Yarrowia lipolytica: one gene and its partner. The protein of the gene in region 1 purifies or fractionates together with the protein of each later gene. This does not show direct contact. Links are inferred from orthologs where the notes say so. Each region holds a gene or a part of one and is shown in the gene's direction. Other genes may lie near its edges. The genes, in order: YALI1_E02203g and YALI1_B13586g.

The links.
Region 2: the proteins of YALI1_E02203g (region 1) and YALI1_B13586g purify together in Saccharomyces cerevisiae (affinity purification with mass spectrometry; 3 studies listed by BioGRID, with this or other methods). This does not show direct contact. The link is inferred for Yarrowia lipolytica from reciprocal best matches to the Saccharomyces cerevisiae genes UTP15 and MPP10.

Annotation. Positions count from the first base shown.
Region 1 is NC_090774.1:218,660-222,746, forward strand, and holds YALI1_E02203g (uncharacterized protein), read left to right. Parts: upstream 1-1,699; coding exon 1,700-3,271; downstream 3,272-4,087. Other genes in the region: YALI1_E02183g (uncharacterized protein), read left to right, coding at 1-1,391; YALI1_E02231g (uncharacterized protein), read right to left, coding at 3,458-4,087. UniProt on the Saccharomyces cerevisiae protein: Involved in nucleolar processing of pre-18S ribosomal RNA. Required for optimal pre-ribosomal RNA transcription by RNA polymerase I together with a subset of U3 proteins required for transcription (t-UTPs).
Region 2 is NC_090771.1:1,356,793-1,361,099, forward strand, and holds YALI1_B13586g (uncharacterized protein), read left to right. Parts: upstream 1-1,856; coding exon 1,857-3,782; downstream 3,783-4,307. Other genes in the region: YALI1_B13556g (uncharacterized protein), read left to right, coding at 1-1,516. UniProt on the Saccharomyces cerevisiae protein: Involved in nucleolar processing of pre-18S ribosomal RNA. Required for the early cleavages at sites A0, A1 and A2 during 18S ribosomal pre-RNA processing.

The DNA of each region.
Region 1 (4,087 bases):
CGATCCAAACAGCGCCAAACAACAATCCCCTCAGCATCTTTTCCTACAAAACAGAAGAGTACGAGAGCGCCATTGCCAACGAGCCGCTCCCGAAGAACATAAGCGACATTCTGATCGAGAACTATAGGAATTTGGTGGACCCCTTCTTCCCCATTATTGACTGGAAGGAGTTCGAAGAACATTATGAAAACCTATACCCCGGGCAGGCTGGTCCTACACCGCCATCACCGCCACAACCACCGTCCTTCCTGGCTCTGATATACACAGTCTACGCCCTGAGTTGCAAGTCCTGCGCTTTCGACTCGCTGCTACATACCTTGCATGCTTCAGCCGTCATCCACTTTTCTGATCGCGCCGAGCAATACCTCAACAGAATACCCTTGTTAGTGACCTCGTCGATCGACGACTTCCGAGCAGCACTGCTCTACATTTACAGTTCATTCTCTGGCGACTGTCTTATGGTGGGATGGTCTCTGTGTGGTCTGTTGGTAACAATGAGCCAACGGATTCTGCCTCCCTTTACAGCCTCCAGCGACGTGAAGGAAGCTGCAAACCACCTCATTTCGGTTTCTGGCACTTTTTTCGACGCCTGCCAAGCATTTGTAGGCCACAAATCTGGGTTAGAATACCCCCAATTGCCTTTCAGCTCATACCCGTTTCTACACACTACCCAGAAGCTCTACATGTTCACCCGTGGACTGCAGAACAGCCATGATTCTTCAGATCCTGCTGAACTCCTGCGAATCGACCAGATAATCAATACTCTTCCCCAGGGAGATCCTATGGAGTTCATGAAGAAACTGGCACTGACAACACAATGGCACAAGGCCAATCTTTTGCTTTTCCGATGTGGCAAGATCGACCGACTCTCTGGACTCATGTCACTTCTGAAGCTACTGGAGAACCAATTCTATCTCTACTCTGCTCCTCCACAGATCCAACAATACATTCTGTTTCACTGGAACAACATTTACTACCATGTGTTCACGGGAGTGATTGTTTTGGCTCTAGAACTGGAGGCAACTGATCCTCTGCCTCCGCTGGATCCATCTGTATTCCCCAACCTCTCCAAGCTCAACCTGGAAGAGGACAAGAACTGGAAGTCCACTCTGTTGGCTGTCTTGCGTGATCAGTACTTTGATCTCAGAGTCAATTCTGAGTGTGCTAGTGCACGTGCTCACATGATAACTTCGGCATTTCTGGCCCAAGACACACATATGGAGTGTCCACGACCGTTTGGACCTTTCCATAAGATGCTGTGCCTGCCATCAGGATTTTACATCTGTCGGTTTGACCGGTCGTACTTTCAGTGTGGCTACGGAATGGAGCTGGACCGTCAGATTGGTCGTGCGTTATACGACTCCAAGGAGAGTTCCAAGGTGTTTCTATAGCTTCTTCCCAGAGATGAGAAGACATCTGTATTTATTGCATTTTTCAATGCCAGTGTCTGAACTGTAGTTCAAGTAAGTTACTAAGTAATACTAAGTAATACGCGAAGATAAACGCATGCAAAACCTACAACAAGCAGGCCATTAGCCATCACGAAAGATTATAAGAAGCTGTTTGCCTTTCAATATCAACCTCCCCCCAGTTAATCCCACTTAGTGACAACCCCTTTCACCATAACATAAAGCTACTTGTAGTTATGTTCGACAGTGGATATCTCCAAATCCACCTCCGCAAATAAAGTTCAAGGTGCATGCACAACAGAAAAAATTGGAAACCATCTGCAAGATTTCAATATCACCACCACCACACAAGCAAATCAACAATGTCCGCCCCCTTGAACCGGTTGACGATTGCTAAGGAGGTCAAAAAGGGCTCCGACTTGACGCCCGAGCAAAAATTCTGGAAAACCTACCGTTCGCCTCTGCTCGTCAAAGAGTACAATGCCATCTCTCACGTTTCCTTCAACCATCACAATGACTTTGCCGTCACCTCGTCTACTCGAATCCAGATCTTCTCTGGAAAGACCCGAAAAGTCACCAAGACTATCTCTCGTTTCAAGGATACTGTATACTGCGGCGAGTTCCGGTCTGATGGTAAGCTGATTGTGGCCGGTGATGCTACAGGTCTGGTTCAGATCTTCGATGCCGTGTCGAGAAACATTCTGGTGACTCTGCAGGCGTCCCAACTGGCCACTCATGTGACTAAGTTCCACCCCACAAACCTCACCACTCTCCTCACAGCCTCCGACGACCGAAGCGTCAAGCTCTACGATATCACCAGCTCCACTCCTCTGATCGAGTTTGAGGGCGCTCAGGATTACGTTCGATGTGGAGAGTTTGTCGATGCCAACGTTGTCGCTGCTGGTTCGTACGACGGAACTGTTCGACTCTACGACGCCCGATCCGGAAAGACCCCCATCTCTTCTCTGGCTCAGGATCACCCGGTTGAGGATGTCCTCTACCACAACGGAATGGTGTTGTCTGCCGGAGGTCCCATTGTCAAGGCCTGGGACATGACCACCGGAAAGACCATCCGACAAATGGGCAACTTCAGCAAGACCGTTACTTGCCTGGCCCCTACTCACGGTGCTTCTGGATTCTTCGCTGGCTCCCTAGACGGCCATGTCAAGGTCTTTGATGATACCTCATTCAAGGTTACCTACGGCTGGAAGTACGGCTCCGGAGTGCTCTGTACTGGTATGTCTCTAGACTCCCAGCATATTGTGGCCGGTCTGGTTTCCGGTATTGTCGCTGTTCGAACCCAGCAGCCCAAGAAGGACGAGAAGATCAGCAACGGACGGGTTCTGGACCAGAAGGCTGCTGTTGAGGAGGAGAAGAAGAAGAAGGCAGAGGGACCCGTGCTTGGAGGAACCAAGTACGAGGGTCAGTTTGAGCATGTCATTGTCGAGGAGCACGAGCGGCCCAACAAGAAGCTGCTGAAGCGATATGAAAACCTGCTTCTCGGATTCCGATGGGGTGATGCTCTCGATGCTGCACTGTCTGGAGAGCATCTGGAGACCTCTGTTCTGGCTCTGGAAGAGCTCAAGAAGCGAGGTAAGGTGCGAGCTGCACTGCTGAACCGAGATGAGGACTCTCTGGAGCCTCTCTTTGAGTTCGCTACCAAGGCCATTGCTGACTCGCGATACATCAACATTGTTGCTGACTACGTTGCAGTCGTGCTGGACATGTACACTAGTGTGATTACCAAGAGCCCGATACTCGAAGAGCGGGTGTCTGAGTTCTACGACGCTCTCAAGTCCGAGGTCGAGACTGCTAAGGAGAGCAAGAAGATCCAGGGTATGTTGGAGCTCCTCAGTGTTTAGAGAGAGCAAAAGGATGGATGCATTTGTTGAATAGATATTAGATAATGATTGGGAAAATGGTACTTGTAGTTATATCGCTGCTTGTAGACTAGTATGTAAGTAGTTGTACATGGCAGCTAGTCAAAAAACACTGTATATGTTATATCTCTAAATGCGTTCGTATGCTTATGTTAAATGCTAGGGCGATCACTTCTTAAACCTCGAGGCCCACTGCTTCTGTCCCATATTGACCTTGAATCCCGTGTTGAGTCTGTTGGTGGTGGAGAAGTTGTCGTTATCCACCTTGGCCTTCTTGTGCTGTTCAGACTCGACTCGCACAATAGCCTTTTTAGTGGTTCGCTTCTGCGTCTGATGCTTGCGTTTCTTGATACCACCTTCTTTGTAGATAGGAGCACTGAGAGCAGTCTCTCCTTCAAGAGCAGTTTCATGAACCCAATCTAAATCGTCCTGCACAGGTTCATCATAAGGATTATGGACCTCCACAGTTCCCATGATCTCGTCCAGCTCATCAGGTTCCTCCCCGTCGAATGTAACATCAACGATCTTAGGCTCTTTGGGCTTAGGAGGCAGTCCTTCAAGTTCACGCCAAGCGTCTTCATCGTCATCATACTCTTCAGTCTGGTTAGCTGGTGACAACTCCTTCTCAGGAGACATTTGTTTGATAGGACTCTCGACTACAGACTGCCTGATTCTCTCGGCGAAAGAGAGCCGTTTTTCGAATGGAGAAACATCAACAGAAATGCGGTTGAGATATGCAGGTGTGGTGAACTCGTCGTTGACATCCAATGCTGGTTTGTTGGTCGGCGTCTCGGAGGT
Region 2 (4,307 bases), on another chromosome or scaffold:
GGAGTCTGCTTTTGAAAGCTACGAAATGTCTTCTGGATCTCTTCTCAGAGCTTTCGAATGTCGCTCCAAGTCTGGATCTTCGTTCAAAGGATGCAGAAAGATCTTCCCTTTGCTTGTCCCTGGAAGCAATGACGCTGTTATTGCCTTCGCTGAAACTGAACATTACCTTCTTTTGGATGTTTCTTCTTCTTCAGACTGGATCTCCATCGATCAGGTGTCTCAGAAGAGCGCTAGCTTCGACTTTGTCACCGGAGCTACAATCTCCACTTCCAATACCATCTCCACTGATATTTCCTTCCCCAAATTGACTTCTGGACTCGTTTCTTACAAGGTCAGTGTCTCGAAGGGAGTGCAGCTTGTTCGACAATACGTTCAACAAAATTCTAGTCGAGTATACGACTCTAAGTACCTTGTGCCTCACAACGGGGTAGTTGACGTATCGTTCCATGGAGATGTCCCCTTTGTTCCTTATTTTCAGTCATCTCCTCTTCATCTACAGGTCTTTGGAGGGGGTCATGTGACTATCCGGGTGGACTGGATCGGTTCTCTGGGTAACCTATTTATGCGGTATCGCATTCTCTTCATTTCTCTTCCTTCTGCTATCTTGTATGCAATCTTTTTGGTACAGTTCCATGCAGGTACTGCCAGGTTTCTGTCTCTTCGACAAAGTACAAGTATCTTTATTAACCGTTACCTACTTACTTCATGCTTGGCTGGGTCTGGTATTGCCTATTTGACGGGACTTTCACAAGTCAGAGACTTTCTACATCTCATTCAGATCCCTATTACCAAGACCTTTGCCGTTGACCCTTCATACACTAAGAACGACTTGTTTTTAGGACTCAGCGGAGTCTCTGGGACAGTTCTGGCACCTATCTTCACTGTCTTCTCCACCGGTATGGTTGTTTTGATCACAGAACTGGTCATGGGATTGACTTCTCTTCTGTCCTTCTGTTTCAAAAGCACTACAACTGCCCAGTCAGAGTCAGAATCAGGCGACCCTATCAGCGATCTTTTACACAAGAGAACTGTTTTTGTGGCTGTCATTTCTGTTCTGGTTCTGCTGTTCTTTCCCTACCAGCTGGCCTTTACTCTGGCCACTGTGGCTCTTCTGGTGATGACTGCGTACTTCAAGTCCAACAAAGCTCCGCAGGAACAATCATTCAACAACTACATTTCCACCATCTGTGTTCTCATGACTTGGACATGTATCATAAATGCTCCTGTGCTGGCAGTCTGGATTCAGGGCATTGTTGTTCAGCGATCAATGACCTTTTCTTCCCATCACAACCTCGTTTCCATTCTCCCCACACTGCTGTTTGTGGAAAACCTATCCTTCAGGCGTATTCCCAGTGGTTCTTCCATCACTTCTCTCTTGTTGGCATACACCAGTCTGCACTGTTTGTTCTATGGAATGATGCAGGCATTCATGATCCACCATGGATTCAACCTGTTGGCCACCTGGCTCCTTTGCATGTCCTACAAAAAGGTCTTTTTCAAGTCCAAGCATGAGTAACCAAATCGATGAAACAAGTGGAGTGCGAAGAGGGTGACTATAAGTAGTGAGTGCAGTAGCTACTTTAGTGAGCTGGGAGCCTTGGGTCTAAAAGTGGCAAGTAAAAGAGTCTTAGACGGGTGTAAACGTATGATAAGTTCTATAACCAGTTCAATTTCCTGTAACTATTCGGTATCCCTATAATTCCACAAATATATGTCATATTCCTCTCCCCATATTGCCCTTCGCTTACATAATCATCCGATTAAACTCTGAGTTTATTTGAAAAAAATCCTGTGGGTGCATGATCAAGTTTTCAGTTTGGACTTTTTATACCACAATTCACTAAAAGCACAGCACAATGTCTGGAATTCCCACGATTGTGACGTTGGACGAGCCGCTGAGCGTGTTGGCCGTGCCCGATTCTGAGCTCAAGAAGCAGGCTCTTGCCAAGGTCAAGGAGGCGCTGGACCCTCTCTCAGAGCAGTACTCGGTGCTTGATCAGATTCATGTTCAGGATATGGATGCTGAGATGGTCTGGGCTCAGGCCAAGATGGTTATCGATGGCGTTTGTGATAAGATGATTGGCGAGGTGTTTCCCAAGTACGGCAAGATCCAGCCCGACAGCGAGCAAGAAGATGAGGAAGAGGAGAGTGACGACGAGAGCCAGTATGAGAGCGCTCAGGAGGAGGTTCCTGGAGAGGAGGTTGTTGGCGAGGAGGAGGATGAGGGAGTTGACGTCTTTGACGATGGCGACGAGGACGACGAGGACGATACTGAGGAGGACAACGAAGGCAGCGATGTTGATATGGACATGGATAATCTTGTTGATGATTATGAAGATGAGGAAGAAAAGGAAGACGACGACGAGGAAGAGGAGGAGGAGGAGGAGGAGGAAGACGATTCTGGAGGGGAAGAAAAGCCCGATAAATTCGGTCTCAATGATGGCTTCTTCGATATCGACAAGTTCAACAAGCAGATCATGGCCATGGAGGCTGACAACTTTGGAGAAGACGGACCCGACTTTGATTGGAACAAAGAGCTCGGCGAGCAGAGCGACGACTCGGTCGACGATATCAAGTACGACGACTTTTTCGGCAAGGCCAAGTTTGACAAGAAGCTGCAGTACGAGCAGCGGGTTGCCAAGCGACAAAAGCTTGCCGAACAGGCTCTGGAGAACAAGGATGAGGAGTCTGACGATGAGTCTGACAACGAGGCCGGTTCTGACGACAACGAAGCTGACTTCGACATGGAGGGATCTGGGGACGAAAACGAATACGAGGACATGATCAACTCTGTTAAGAAGGATCTGTTCGAGGAAGATATTGCCGAAGACACCCCCGAGCATCTGTCGACGTTTGAGAAACAGCAACGGGAAATCATGAAGCAGATTGCCCAGTACGAGAAGGAAAACGTGGGCGAAAAGAAGTGGACCCTTAAGGGAGAGGCTCGAGCAGCCCAGCGAACTAAGGACTCGCTGCTGGAGGAGGATCTGGACTTTGAGCGGGGAGCTAAACCTGTTCCGGTCATGACCCAGGCCGTCACCGAGTCGCTGGAAGACATGATCAAGGCCCGAATCAAGAGCGGCCAGTTTGATGACCTTCCGCGACGTTTCTTTGACGACCTGCCTCAGTTCAAGAAGAGCAAGCTCATCGAGGTCTCTGAGCAAAAGTCGCAAAAGTCTCTGGCTGATCTGTACGAGGCTGAGGCTATGGGAGAGACCGAACCATCGACGACGAACGAGCCCCCTAACGAAATGCGAGACGCTGCCCATCGAGAAATCGAAGACCTATACGCCGACGTTGCCTACACCCTCGATTCTCTGTCATCTTGGACCTACAAGCCCAAACCCACTAAATCCATCCAGATTGTCACCAACGCTCCTGCCATCTCCATGGAGGAGGCCCAGCCCCAGGCTCTGGCCCAGGAGGAACAGCTGGCTCCCCAGGAGGTTTACAAGCCCGAGGTTGCCGATAAGAGAGAGCGACTGGCTGGCTCGACTGGCCTTCCTCAGACCAAGGCTGAGATGACCCGAGAAGAGCGAAAGCGAGCCAAGAAGAAGGAGAAGATTGCCCGAGGAAAGCAGTTGGCAGAGAAGGAGGAGCGACAGCGATCTCTTGCGGTGCATTCCAAGGAGGGCGATGCCAAGGGCTCCAAGGCCCAGGTCATGGAGACTCTGAAGCAGGGTAATGTTACGGTGATTGGAAAGAGAGGCGAGAAGAGAGGACTAGATGGAAAGCTGAAGAGGGATCAGAAAGCCAAGGATGGTTACAGTCTGAAACTGTGATCGAAGCGAACAAAAAGTCCAGTTACAAATTATATAATTGATAGAGCATGTTTATTGAATGGCTGTAGGTAGAAGAGTTACGTATTTTTGAATATGGGTAATTACAAGAGCATACACAGCTGATGACGACCAACCTTGCCCTTGGAGTTTCCAATACTATGAAACACAGGTTATTCCCTGGAGTTTACACACCAGCCACGATCGATGTTCTAGTATGAAACCATTCTGTCGTGTGTCTAACACTCTTCGTCTATCAACGCCCGAGACAAGCTGAAACACAGACGACCTCGTTGAACGCACCCCATTTACACGCTTCCAAAGCCGATTCAGAGATCTACTTGGGATTTTTGGTGCTCCGGTTACCCGTTGCTGTCCGTGTATCGGTTTACTGTTTCTTACCCATCTCATCCCTTCAGGCAAGTCCAACGGGACCCCTGCTTATGTCCGACTACTTCCGACGATAGAGCAGCAAGAGTAAGGATATGGGGTTGTTGTACGACGGGAATGTTGCGTAGCTATTTTCAG